Caenorhabditis elegans: one gene and its partners. The protein of the gene in region 1 interacts with the protein of each later gene in a pairwise test. Each region holds a gene or a part of one and is shown in the gene's direction. Other genes may lie near its edges.

Region 1 (3,703 bases):
CTGGAATATGTACGGCAATTAAAACTGAGCTTTTTCTGCGTATCTAAAGGTCAGACACAGCAGTCCAGCTCCAATTTAAGCCTTGTTCGAGCCGGGGACTGTGACCAATAGTCCAGTCGTGGATTGCTCTACTTCCCACTTAAGGCTGGATGGACCTAGTGGGAGGTAGGACTTGAACTGGTGACCTCTAGATTGCTGGCGGCCACCACTGGTTCATTGTGTCCGGACCTCGATCGCGATGTCTCCACTGAGACATTATGCGTACATCTTAAGTTGTTCGAAGACTCTCGCATGACTTCCATGTTTCTTGTTCCAATAATTCCCAGACGTCACAAAGCATATTCCACGTGTTTTTTTTAAACCGCGTTTGGACGAGTGTTGGGAAAAAAAGAGAGTTGTGCTCTCATAATGGAGGTGTATTATGTGCTCACTTTCTCTCTGAGAAGTTGCCTCTTCAAGGATGATGGCTTCCCGTCTCCGGCCGTGGTCTACACCACCCGCGTGTGTTGCATCCCAAAACCGGATACTCTTACCTGCCGGTCAGTTGGCCCGGCAGCTCTCGCTGTCTCTCTGACGCCACCGCTGCCACTCGAGTGCACCGAGTATAAAGAGCACAGTGCTCCGACACTTTAGAGTCAAATTTTCTTCCGATGGCAAATCGGCTACTCACACATCAGGAACAGATTTTGCTCTGTTCTCTGTTTTTAAGATTTTCTAGACACCGTAGTTTCCCTATTAGACATGCAACCCTTGCTCTATTTTGTTATATCTCTGTTCCCTTCGGTTCTATCAAAAAACTGTCATTAACTGACAAAACACGTGCAAAATATTTATCTACAGTTAGACAGTAAACGCCGCTTAAGTAGATCAATGAGTTTCATGTCCAATATGCTAAATACGGTAGGAATCATTTTTTCAACTATTCTAATTTTTCTTGTAGCATTAAAAAAACTATCAACTAACATCCTAACTACTATTTAAGTATCAAGCATTGCAAAAATTTAAAGAAGCAAAAGGCTCTTACTATTAGAAAGCTATATGTTTTCCATTGACCACAGACTCCGGGCTTTTCATAAAAACCTTAGCAATCCGAATATAATTGGAAAGTTTCTATATATGCTTCAACCGTGATAAGATAAGTTGAACGACATTTTGACAAGCGCGCGCTCACAATCTTTTGGTGTATGTGTGTGTGTGTGTGTGGGGTCACTCAAGTATTTGAACATCAATCGTCCACTTCATTTTACAAACACATAGACTGGACTGAGCCCGATGGGGGAAATGAGAGAGTTTCGTGCCGCGCGCAAAGAGCACGTCGCCGCGCGGAGGCGCCAGAGTCTAAGCTAACACAGAAAGTCGGAGGGAGACGAAAAAGAGAAGACGGTCAGTTAGTGTCCCCTCCCCTCTCTCCTCACTGTTACGTACAAATGACCATTTAGTCTTGCTGCTCCATCGGGCTTCTCCTTGAGAACAAATCTTCAGATTTATTTTTGAGTTACCTTACTCTACCTACTAATTTTACAGTTTTACTTACATATTACTCTTTATTATTTATCTGAATCTTTATTAGTTTCCTGATATAATATTATTATTATTATTAAAATTTCAGGCCAGCGCAGGGTCAGGTGTTCCTACTTGTCTTAAAACCTTCAAATAACTCATTATGAAGCAACTCGCCATCTCCTTCTGCATTATCCTCCCCCTCGCCTGCTTCTGGGTACTGAACGCAGAAGACGCGAAAGAAGGTATGTTGTCACTCACTCTTCAACTCCTAAAATCCGACTTTCAGCTCCAGAAATTCGTGAAGCCAACTCCACAGTATTCCGTCAGAAGAGGCAGTTTGGATGCCCATCCAATTGCTATTCCTCATGCAGTTCCTCGTCCCAGTGCCAGAGATATTCTGTCGCATCTGTCTGTGTCCAAGGATGCTGTTGCCCAGGAAACAATAACCTTGATAGTAAGTTTTTTTAATATGAAGGTTGTGTAGGAAGTTGAAAAATTGCTTTTTTTCATAAATCAGAGATGTTAAAGAAAACGTCGCAATTATTAAAAACTAGGAGCGGGGATAGCTCAGTCGGTAGTATTGATAATTAGCAATCTAGAGGTCACGAGTTCAAGTCCTGGCTTCCCTAGGTTCAGTGTACCCAGATCCGTTCATATCGCTTAAGTAACGCATCGTCCTTTAACCCTTTAGTAAGGAATATGAGATAAAAGTTGAATGCTGACACCTTTAAAATTTAGATCTCCCTTAGTTCAAACCTCAAACCTTATCAAAATCATATCAAGAGATATCAAGAATCCAGTCACCGTTCCAATTTCTCAAGTGTCCCCGCCGTTCCCTTCCGGTTCGAGCAAACACACACACTGATTACCTAATGATTGCTACAACTCCCGGGGAGACGCTGCTTAGTCCCTTTTGCGGTGATGGAGACACCTTCTTATACGGCTCAACATAAATACAAAATATTTGCGAAGTTTCGCGGGGTGTTTGCGTTTGCTCGGTGCGTGCTGCTGTGCTCTGTGTCTCACGAAGTCGGCGCGGTTTGGACAACACGCACGAACCTATCTTTTTCTATCTTTAGCTCGTATCAGAACGAGTTCAAATATGGGTGTGGAAAGTCGTCTAATTCCAACAAAAATTTCAGCCGCCTGCTCCGGAGGACCAGCCGTCGCCGCCTGCCTCGGAGGACTCTGCGGACAAGGATTCTTCTGCTCGAGCAACAACTACTGCTGCAGATGCCAATCCGGAAACAGCACGGGACCATGTGTAAACCAGGTCTGCCCAACCGGATTCATGTGCAACACCAACAACTACTGTTGCCCACTCGGATCCGGAGGAGTCCTCGGATCATGTGTCAACGGAGTCTGCCCAACTGGATACACCTGTGGAGCTGGAAACTTGTGCTATTTGAGCAGTGGAAAGTAAAAAAATGGAATTCAATTTTTCCCTTTTTTCATGCGACAAATTGCCCCCAGTCTTTCTATATTTTTATATATTTTTTTAATATATTGTACTTTCCTTCTCCGTTCTCTGACTCTCTGCTCCTTTTAAATTATTCTAATCTATTTGAAACGAATCGTTCCCACCACCAAGACAACAACATCAACAACAAACGAAATCCCAAAAAAATATTTGAATTGTTTTTAAATTTAATTTGTTTATTTATTATTTTATTTTAATTAATGAAATAAAAAAAGAAACATTTGACACTCTACGACGATATGTGAGAAAAAATATTATAGTTTGCAAATCAAAATTTTCAAAATTTCAAACAAAAAAAAGTATAGTTAATTATGCGAAAAAAAAACATTGAGAGATGCTGATGATTTCTGTCATGAAACCGGAAAAATATGAAATAAAACTTAAAGTAGGGGGGCACTGGGAAGAAGAAAAAAACAAAATCATAATGCAAATGTGCTCTAATAATAACTAATTCAAACAATTTTATGCTCGTCGTGAGGATGATGATCATAATCATAGTCTGTATGAACAAATGCACGTTCAACTTCCGGCAAGCTTTCGATGTTTGATTGGAGGGTCTCACTGATGTCATGGGATTCTTTGAGGATCATATTCTCGTCGAGCACAATGTGCACCTGGAAATATTACAGATTTTAGAGTAGCACAATAATTCAGTTGTAAGCTCAGCCTCTTCAGAAATGTGCGATACGGGCTTATGTTAGGCCTAGGTGTAGGTTTAGG
Region 2 (4,073 bases), 3.5 Mb from region 1:
CAGTCTCGCACAAAAGTCAACCTAAATGATATTGTATTTCAAACAGTTGTTCGTTGAAAAACTAGTAGAATCAAGAAACAAACATGATTTCAACCAAAATTAATGAAACCTCTTTTATTTCAAAACACAACACGCACTGAAAACATCGAAATATTCAATAAATCTTTTCAGAAATGAAGACAACTCTTCTCGCTTTTGTAGCCATTCTTGGCATGTGCTCGGCAACTGTGGTTCAGCATAAATTGATCTATCGGGAATCGCCAAAGATGCAAATGATGAGGCGAGGAGAATGGGGAGCATACGTTCAACACAAGGCTGCCCTACGTGACGCCAATCCAGCTGTGTTCGCCAGTGCTCCACAAAATGTCAATGATTTTGGAGATGTTGAATACCTAGGAAATATCACGATTGGAACTCCTCCACAACAGTTTATTGTCGTCTTGGATACTGGTTCTGCGAATCTCTGGGTTCCAGGAAGTAACTGCGAGTCAGTAGCCACCTTACACAATGGTTTTTAAATTTTTATCATTTTCAGTGGAACATGCAAAGGAAAGAGCGAGTTTGACTCATCTAAATCTACAACATTCAAGAAAAACGGACAATCATGGCAAATTCAATACGAATCTGGAAGCGCTAAGGGAATCATGGGAGTAGATACTGTTGCTTTTGGTGGTGCTTCAGAACAACAACTTCTTGTCCCATCTACCACTTTCGGTATTGCCTCTCACATTTCGTCTAACTTTAAGAATGTAAGATCTATTTCCCAGATTATTTGATTCTTCATCGGAACGAAACTTTCAGGACGCTGCTGAAGGAATTCTCGGGCTTGCCTTCACATCTCTTGCAGTCGACGGAGTTACCCCACCACTGATCAACGCCATCAACAAGAAAATTCTCGATCAACCTCTGTTCACAGTCTTTTTAGAACATAAGGGAACGGCAAAGAATGTTGGAGGAGGTGTCTTCACCTACGGAGCCGTTGACACTACCAACTGCGGACCAGTGATTGCCTATCAACCACTTTCATCTGCCACGTATTATCAGTTTGTTGCTGATGGATTTAAGCTCGGATCATACTCAAACAATAAGAAATCTCAAGTGATTTCCGACACTGGAAGTTCGCTCATCGGAGGACCAAGTGCTGTGATAAATGGCTTCGCTCAAGCTTTGGGAGCAAAAGTGAGTATCAGTTTAATTTTGACTCGTTGTGAGGGACAAACAGTTTTTTTAATCTTTATATCTAAACCTTTTCCAGTACCACAGCGATGATGATGCTTACTACCTCCCATGCTCAACATCTAAGGGAACTTTGGACATTACTATCGGAGGAAATGTGTATTCTATTGAACCTGTCAACTATATCCTTGATGTTGGAATGGGTGACACTTGTGTCTTTGCTGCTTTCTCATTCGATTTCGGAGGATTCGGACCATCATGGATTTTCGGAGATCCTTTCATCCGTCAATACTGCAACATCTATGACATCGGACAACAGCGCATTGGTTTTGCCAAGTCTCTCCAGCCTTCTTCAAAATAAACTCTATGCAATGCGATTGTGAGAAATGAAAATGAATACTTCAATTTACTTTTCTTCAGTGTGTGATCTACGTGATTATGGTCAAAAGTCCAACTTATACATATCGTCATGTACACCTTATTTCTTTTTTCATTTTCTGGACAATTTTGTGAAGTGAAAACCCACGTCACAGACCGTTATCTGATTGAGTATAAATGATAAGAAATCATTGTCAACTCAAATAAAATAGGAATTTGTTAACTTGTAGTACGAATTCTCCTTATTCTTATCTATTTCATAGACTGAGCTGTTTCATTCGTATTACCTTTTTTCTGTGTTTTGTCAGCTTTTCCTACTATTTATAATTTAATGTTAACTTTCACGACCATTTTTCCAGGTATGAAGACCACTTTCGTAGCACTAGTTGCCCTTTTGGGCCTGTGCTCGGCAACCGTTGTCCAGCACAAGCTGATCTACCGTGAATCTATCAAGATGCAAATGATGAGACGTGGAGAATGGGGAGCATACGTCCAACACAAAGCTGCTCTTCGTGACGCTGACCCAGCTGTGTATGCCAATGCTCCACAAAACGTCAACGACTTTGGAGATTTCGAGTATCTCGGAAACATCACCATCGGAACTCCACCACAGCCATTCCTCGTTGTTTTGGACACCGGATCTTCAAACCTCTGGGTTCCAGGACCATCTTGCGAGTGAGTAAATCCTTGTTGTTTTTGATTTTTGATAATTATTTTCCAGTGGATCCTGCAAAGGAAAGAGAGAGTACCAATCAACAAAGTCCTCGACTTTCAAGGCCAACGGAAAGCCATGGCAGATTCAATACGGATCTGGAAACGCCAAGGGATACTTGGGAGAGGATACCGTTGCCTTTGGAGCCGTCACCGAGAAACAACTCCCAGTTCCATCTACCACTTTTGGAATTGCCACACACATTTCATCCGACTTCAAGAATGTAAGTTTATAGTGTAACAAGAACTAATGTATATTTCAAGTATCCGAAAATCTATTTTAACACATGTTTTTTTCCTTCTGTTTTTTTCATTTTCTGTAATTAGAAGGACAGAAAAATGTAAAGCAAACAGCTTTTTAGTGCCGATTTTTATGACGATGACTTTAAGAATGCATTTTTACGATCATTATCAGTTCAAACACAGTGGCAAAATTTAGGAATGCAAAAATTTATTGCAGCTAAAGTGCTTCTACTCACATGGAATAGTACACAGTGGGAATATTTTCTCTTTCAGGATGCCGCTGAGGGAATCCTCGGACTTGCTTTCACATCCCTCGCTGTCGACCATGTCGTTCCACCACTCATCAACGCTATCAACCAAGGACTTCTCGATCAACCACTTTTCACCGTGTGGCTTGAGCACAAGGGATCTGCCAACGATGTTGGAGGAGGTGTCTTCACCTACGGAGCAGTTGATACTACCAACTGCGGACCAGTGATTGCCTACCAACCACTTTCATCTGCCACATACTATCAATTCGTCGCTGATTCATTCAAGCTTGGATCCTATTCAAACTCTAAGAAATACCAAGTTATCTCCGACACTGGAACTTCCTTCCTCGGAGGACCAAAGGCTGTTGTTGCCGGGCTCGCTAGTGCTCTTGGAGCTACTGTAAGTTGTTGTTTGAGATTCCCGTAACTAAACATATTTTTATAAGTAAGAAGACATAAAAGAACAATTCCCATTCTTTCAGTACCACAGCAACGACGACTCCTACTATGTTCCATGCGCCACCAACATCGGAACCTTGGACATTACCATCGGAGGAAAGGTCTACTCAATTAACCCAGTCAACTACATCGTTGACGTTGGAATGGGAGACACCTGCGTCTTCGCTGCCTTCGCTTTTAACAACTTCGGATTCGGACCAGCTTGGATTCTCGGAGATCCATTCATCCGTCAATTCTGTAATATTTACGATATTGGAGGACAACGTATGGGATTCGCCAACTCCCTTCAGGCCAATTAGTTCTTCAAAACTTTTTTCTTGCGTGTTTAGAAAGAAATAAAGTTCATTGATGCCTATCAGATGTATTCTAGTTAGAAAGCTTCTAAAAAGTTCAATAAGAACATTTCTGTCACTTTCTTATTGATAAGCTTTTGATCAGTAATTTCCGATTCATTTTGTCGTAAGTACCACGGTACAAGACGTTTATTGGCTATTTCTATATTCAATTTTTATTTTATATTTTACATCACATGGTTCTGAAGCAGCTGTTTTTAAACATGACCTAGTTTTCCGAGAGTCAAAAAAAGTTGAAAATCTTCGACGTGGATCTTTTTTTGAAAATCAAGCTCTAGTGCCTCAAGACGTTCAAGATTTTCAAGACTCTGAATATATTGGGATAATCACTATTGGAAAGCCCTACCAATTGTTTAAAGTAGCAATTCAGACGGGGACATCTACATTGTGGATTCCAGCACCTGACAGCGAGTTGGTTTCGGTACCTTTTCGATTTTTAAAGAGCATCTTCTAATTTCTAGCACGTCGTGTAACGGTAAAACGCATTTCAACCCGAAAATAT
Region 3 (4,181 bases), 200 kb from region 1:
GGATTCACTTGTTGCACGGCATACGGCAGTGGTGTTGGAACCGGAAGAGGCGAAACGAGAGAGATTTATGGATATGTTGAGAACGTTGAATGATGTTGATTTGAAGAAGCAGGAGAATATTAAGGAAGGATATAAGAAGAGAAAGGCTGAAGAGGTGTTGCTTTTTTTTTGCAGGAAATTTTGAATATTTGCAAGAAAAATAAAAAATTGAACAAATTTTTTAATGCTAAAAATTACAGGTTTAGATTTTTCACAAAAAAAACAAATTAAAAAATTTTTTTCTATGTTTTCAATAAAAATCGAACAAATTTGGTTTTTTTTTTGAATATTTTATAGAAATATTTAGTTTTTCAAAAAACAAAAAATTCTTCGATTTTCAAAATACCGTTTTTCAAAAAAAAAATCGAAAAATTGAACAAATTTAGTTTTTTGAATTTTTTATTGATTTTTGATATTCAAAAAAAAATTGTTTCTCGTTTTTCAATTTGAAGAAAATTAAAAATTTAACAATTCGTTTTTTTACGATATTCAAAAAATTAATTGTTCTATTTTCATTTAAAAGTCTAACAATTTTCGTTTTTTTTTCCATTTTAAACTAATAATCGTAAACTTTTTGTCTTTAATTAGAAAAAAAAACAAAAAAATTTCGTTTTTGATTTAAAAAAAAAATCTAAAATTAATCGTTTTTCAAAAAAAGTTTTTTCCGAAAAATCGAAATATTTGCAATTTAAAAAAAAGAAAACAACGAATTGAACAAATTTTTTAATGCTAAAATTACAAATTTTGATTGTTCCAAATTTTCGACTTTTAGAAAAAAAACTCGAAAATTTTCGATAAAAAAAAGAAAATAGATCGGTTTGTTTAATTTTCAAAGGATTACAAAAATAATTTCGACTTTCATTTTAATAAATCCACCAATTTTCGTGATTCGATTTTCAACAAATATTCGTATTTTTTTCGTTTTTAATTTAATTTAAGTATAAAAAATTGAAAATTTTCGATTTTCTATTAAAAAAAAATCGAAAAGTGTATCGATTTTAGATTTAACGAAAACTTTTCAAGAAAAAATCGAAAATGTTTTGTTTCTCAATTTTTTTCAAATTACAAAGGAAACATTTTTGTTTTTAAAAAATCGTTGAAATTCCCGATTGGTCGAAAAATATTCTTCAAGACATTTTTAAAAACCATATTTCTAGAAAACTAATTTATAAAATATATAAACAAACATTGATAAAACATGGAATTTTTGCTAATTTTCAAAAAAAATCCGATTTTCTTAGAATAAAACTTTTTAAAAAAGGTTAAAAACTTTATTTCAAATTTTAACTTTTTTGAAAATTCCAGATGGCCGAAAGTGAGGCAAAACGCGAAAAGAGCATTAAATCTCGAAAGAAGGACATCAGCAGAGTCTTATCGAAGAAGGAACAAGCAAAACTTCGAAAGGCTCTTGGCTCATCGGCGAGCAGCTCCTGAAGCTCTGGAATCTGGAATTTATCTGCTAAATTGTTAATTTTTATTTTTGAAAATTTTTTGTTTCTTTGTTTTTTGGTTTTTGTTGTTTTACTGTTTTACTCCATCATCATCGTTTTTTGTTAATTGTTCCTTCTTAATTTTTCTCTAAAAATTAAAAATTAAGTTTTTTCTCTATTTTCTTGCATATTTTAGAAGTACTCGCGTCAAAACTATTTATTTTTTAAAGTATTTTTTCCAAATTTCTCTGCCTAAATTAATATATGCTCACACCTAAATGCTCTCTAGATTCTCGCGGAAAATGATTGGTTTAGAGGCGTGGTTTGCCAACTTTTCACAAATTTCCAGTCGATGGATCACAGCTCAATCACTGGCTGATATCCCGAGGCCACACGTGGAATATGCGATTTTCGCGACTTTCAAGGCTGCCGAAGTGATGAGTGTGATAGGTAAAATGGCAACTTTTCACGGAAAAAATTGATTTTTTTTCCAGAAAATTAAAAAAAAGATTTTACTTCAAAAAAAATATTTAAAAAATTCGAAAAAAATATATTTTTTCAGATAGAATATTAACAAAGGTTTTTGTGCCAGAAATAATAGACAAATAAATTTTTTTGTGAAAAAATATTAAAGCATTTATTTTTCTCAGCAAAAAGATTTTATTTCCAGAAAAAGATTAAAAACTTAAATTTTTTTCAGAAAAAAATCGAGAAAAAATGATTTTTTTTTCAGGGATAATTTAAAAAAAAGGATTTTCCGCAGAAAGAATATATTAAAATTGATTTTTTACAGAAAAAAATAACTTCTGTGTAGAAAAAATCGAAAAAAAAAAGAAAATAAAATTACAAAAATTGGAATTTTTCAAAAAAAAAAAAGATTTTCTTTTCAAAAAAAAAAGAAAAAATTGTAGGCTATGTTTCAAAAAACAATATTTTTATTTTCATTTAAAATTATTTTAAAACTAATTTTGTTCATTTTTCTGGAAAAAAATTAGGAAACCCTATTATTTAAAAAAAAAATTTCCGAAAAACTTCGTCGTTTTTTATTTGAAAATCACTAAATACAGTTTCAGGTGGTCTTGTTGCACATCCTCTCTATCGTTGGTATCTTTCGAGAAAATTGAATCCGAAATTGATGACGCCAAATTCGGAAAAAATCATCAAAAATGCTTGCAGGAAATTGCAGGTGAATTCGAAAAAACTGGTTTTTCTGGGAAAAAAAAGAAAAATAGCTAAAAACTTTTTTATAAAATTCCCAGTTTTTTCGGTTAATATTTTGGCCAAAATTGCACTATTTTTTGCTCTTTTTTTTTTCGAAAAAAAGCGAATAATTGTTCTCCAAAAACACGAAAAAAATTGTTTTTTTGAAAGAAAAAATTCAATATTCAAACCTATTTAAAATGGAACAAAAACGTAAAATTTAAGAATTTTCCTGTAAAAAAAAACAAGAAATATACATTAAAATAAATAAATAAATAAATAAAAAACTTTAATAATTTGACTAAAATTGTGCTATTTTTATAATATCGAGTGTAATTTTTTTGGAAAAAAAAGTAAATTTATGAGTTTTTCAGTAAATCGCTTTTTTTTGTGGTTTTTGAAAATAATTCAAAATTTGCAAATTAATGACGTCATTTGTCTCCAAAAAATAATTTTTTCCAGGGTCGCTTCCTCATCGCCGGGCTCATCACTGCTCCATTTCTAAGTCGTCTCGAGACCCATTTATCTGGAACAACTGACAGTGAATTGAAGAATAGATGTTATTCGATCAGATGTAACGCTGAGACTCTTTCACTAGTAATTGCCTCATAATTTTACTTCCAAAACTCAAAATTTACTAATCATTTTTTTTTCAGGATCGCGCCGTCCTCGTGTGCGGATTCATCGGATGGTACTGGCGCCGATTCCAGGGAGCCGTTGACGGTGTTAACATTGGAATTGCCTACGCAATGGTTAATAGCCAATTTATTGCTCCACGCACGTCACCAGTGCTCAAAAATAGTATTGATGAGTCGGAACGGTTTGAGACAGTCGAAGAGATGGAGGAGTCGAAGACAAAGCTCAATAAATTCTTGGCAGAACAAGACAGGAAGGATGCTGAAGTGAAAGTTCTCGATGTTAAAGACTAATTTTTCGCTGATTTTCTGTTTTATTACTACATAGGCCTTTTCTATTGCTGAAATTGAGATTAGAATAAACCTTTTTTGACTTATTTCACTGCTACTTGCCGACTGAATTCACAAAAATCTATGCTCTCTTTTTTTGTTTGAAATTTAGTTCAGTGACATACAATTTCGAAAATATAATCTGTTTTTTCAGACATGGCTCTGAGACAACACAAACTTATAAATAATTACGAACATTATATTTTCGAAATTGTATGTCACTGAACTAAATTTCAAACAAAAAAATTGAGTATAGATTTGTCAAAAACCGAATTTCTACGAGCTTTTTATAATTTTCGAAAAAAAATCTGTTTTTTCAGACATGGCTCTGAGACAACACAAACTTATAAATAATACCGAACATTATATTTTCGAAATTGTATGTCACTGAACTAAATTTCAAACAAAAAAATTGAGTATAGATTTGTCAAAAACCGAATTTCTACGAGCTTTTTATAATTTTCGAAAAAAAATCTGTTTTTTCAGACATGGCTCTGAGACAACACAAACTTGTTAATAATTACGAACATTATATTTTCGAAATTGT

The links.
Region 2: the proteins of R02F11.1 (region 1) and asp-5 interact in a two-hybrid assay, tested with the Caenorhabditis elegans proteins (one large-scale study listed by BioGRID).
Region 3: the proteins of R02F11.1 (region 1) and txt-6 interact in a two-hybrid assay, tested with the Caenorhabditis elegans proteins (one large-scale study listed by BioGRID).

Annotation. Positions count from the first base shown.
Region 1 is NC_003283.11:4,799,485-4,803,187, forward strand, and holds R02F11.1 (CC domain-containing protein), read left to right. Parts: upstream 1-1,609; 5' UTR 1,610-1,663; coding exon 1,664-1,745; intron 1,746-1,789; coding exon 1,790-1,957; intron 1,958-2,645; coding exon 2,646-2,926; 3' UTR 2,927-3,200; downstream 3,201-3,703. Other genes in the region: R02F11.3 (Cation efflux protein cytoplasmic domain-containing protein), read right to left, coding at 3,436-3,597.
Region 2 is NC_003283.11:8,270,472-8,274,544, forward strand, and holds asp-5 (Peptidase A1 domain-containing protein), read left to right. Parts: upstream 1-1,913; 5' UTR 1,914-1,915; coding exon 1,916-2,229; intron 2,230-2,275; coding exon 2,276-2,489; intron 2,490-2,781; coding exon 2,782-3,159; intron 3,160-3,241; coding exon 3,242-3,517; 3' UTR 3,518-3,573; downstream 3,574-4,073. Other genes in the region: asp-12 (Peptidase A1 domain-containing protein), read left to right, coding at 174-487, 536-749, 802-1,179, 1,256-1,537.
Region 3 is NC_003283.11:4,604,504-4,608,684, reverse strand, and holds txt-6 (transcellular chaperone signaling (x)cross tissue), read left to right. Parts: upstream 1-1,756; 5' UTR 1,757-1,771; coding exon 1,772-1,919; intron 1,920-2,536; coding exon 2,537-2,655; intron 2,656-3,131; coding exon 3,132-3,266; intron 3,267-3,325; coding exon 3,326-3,598; 3' UTR 3,599-3,681; downstream 3,682-4,181. Other genes in the region: Y61A9LA.10 (Bms1-type G domain-containing protein), read left to right, coding at 1-154, 1,345-1,473.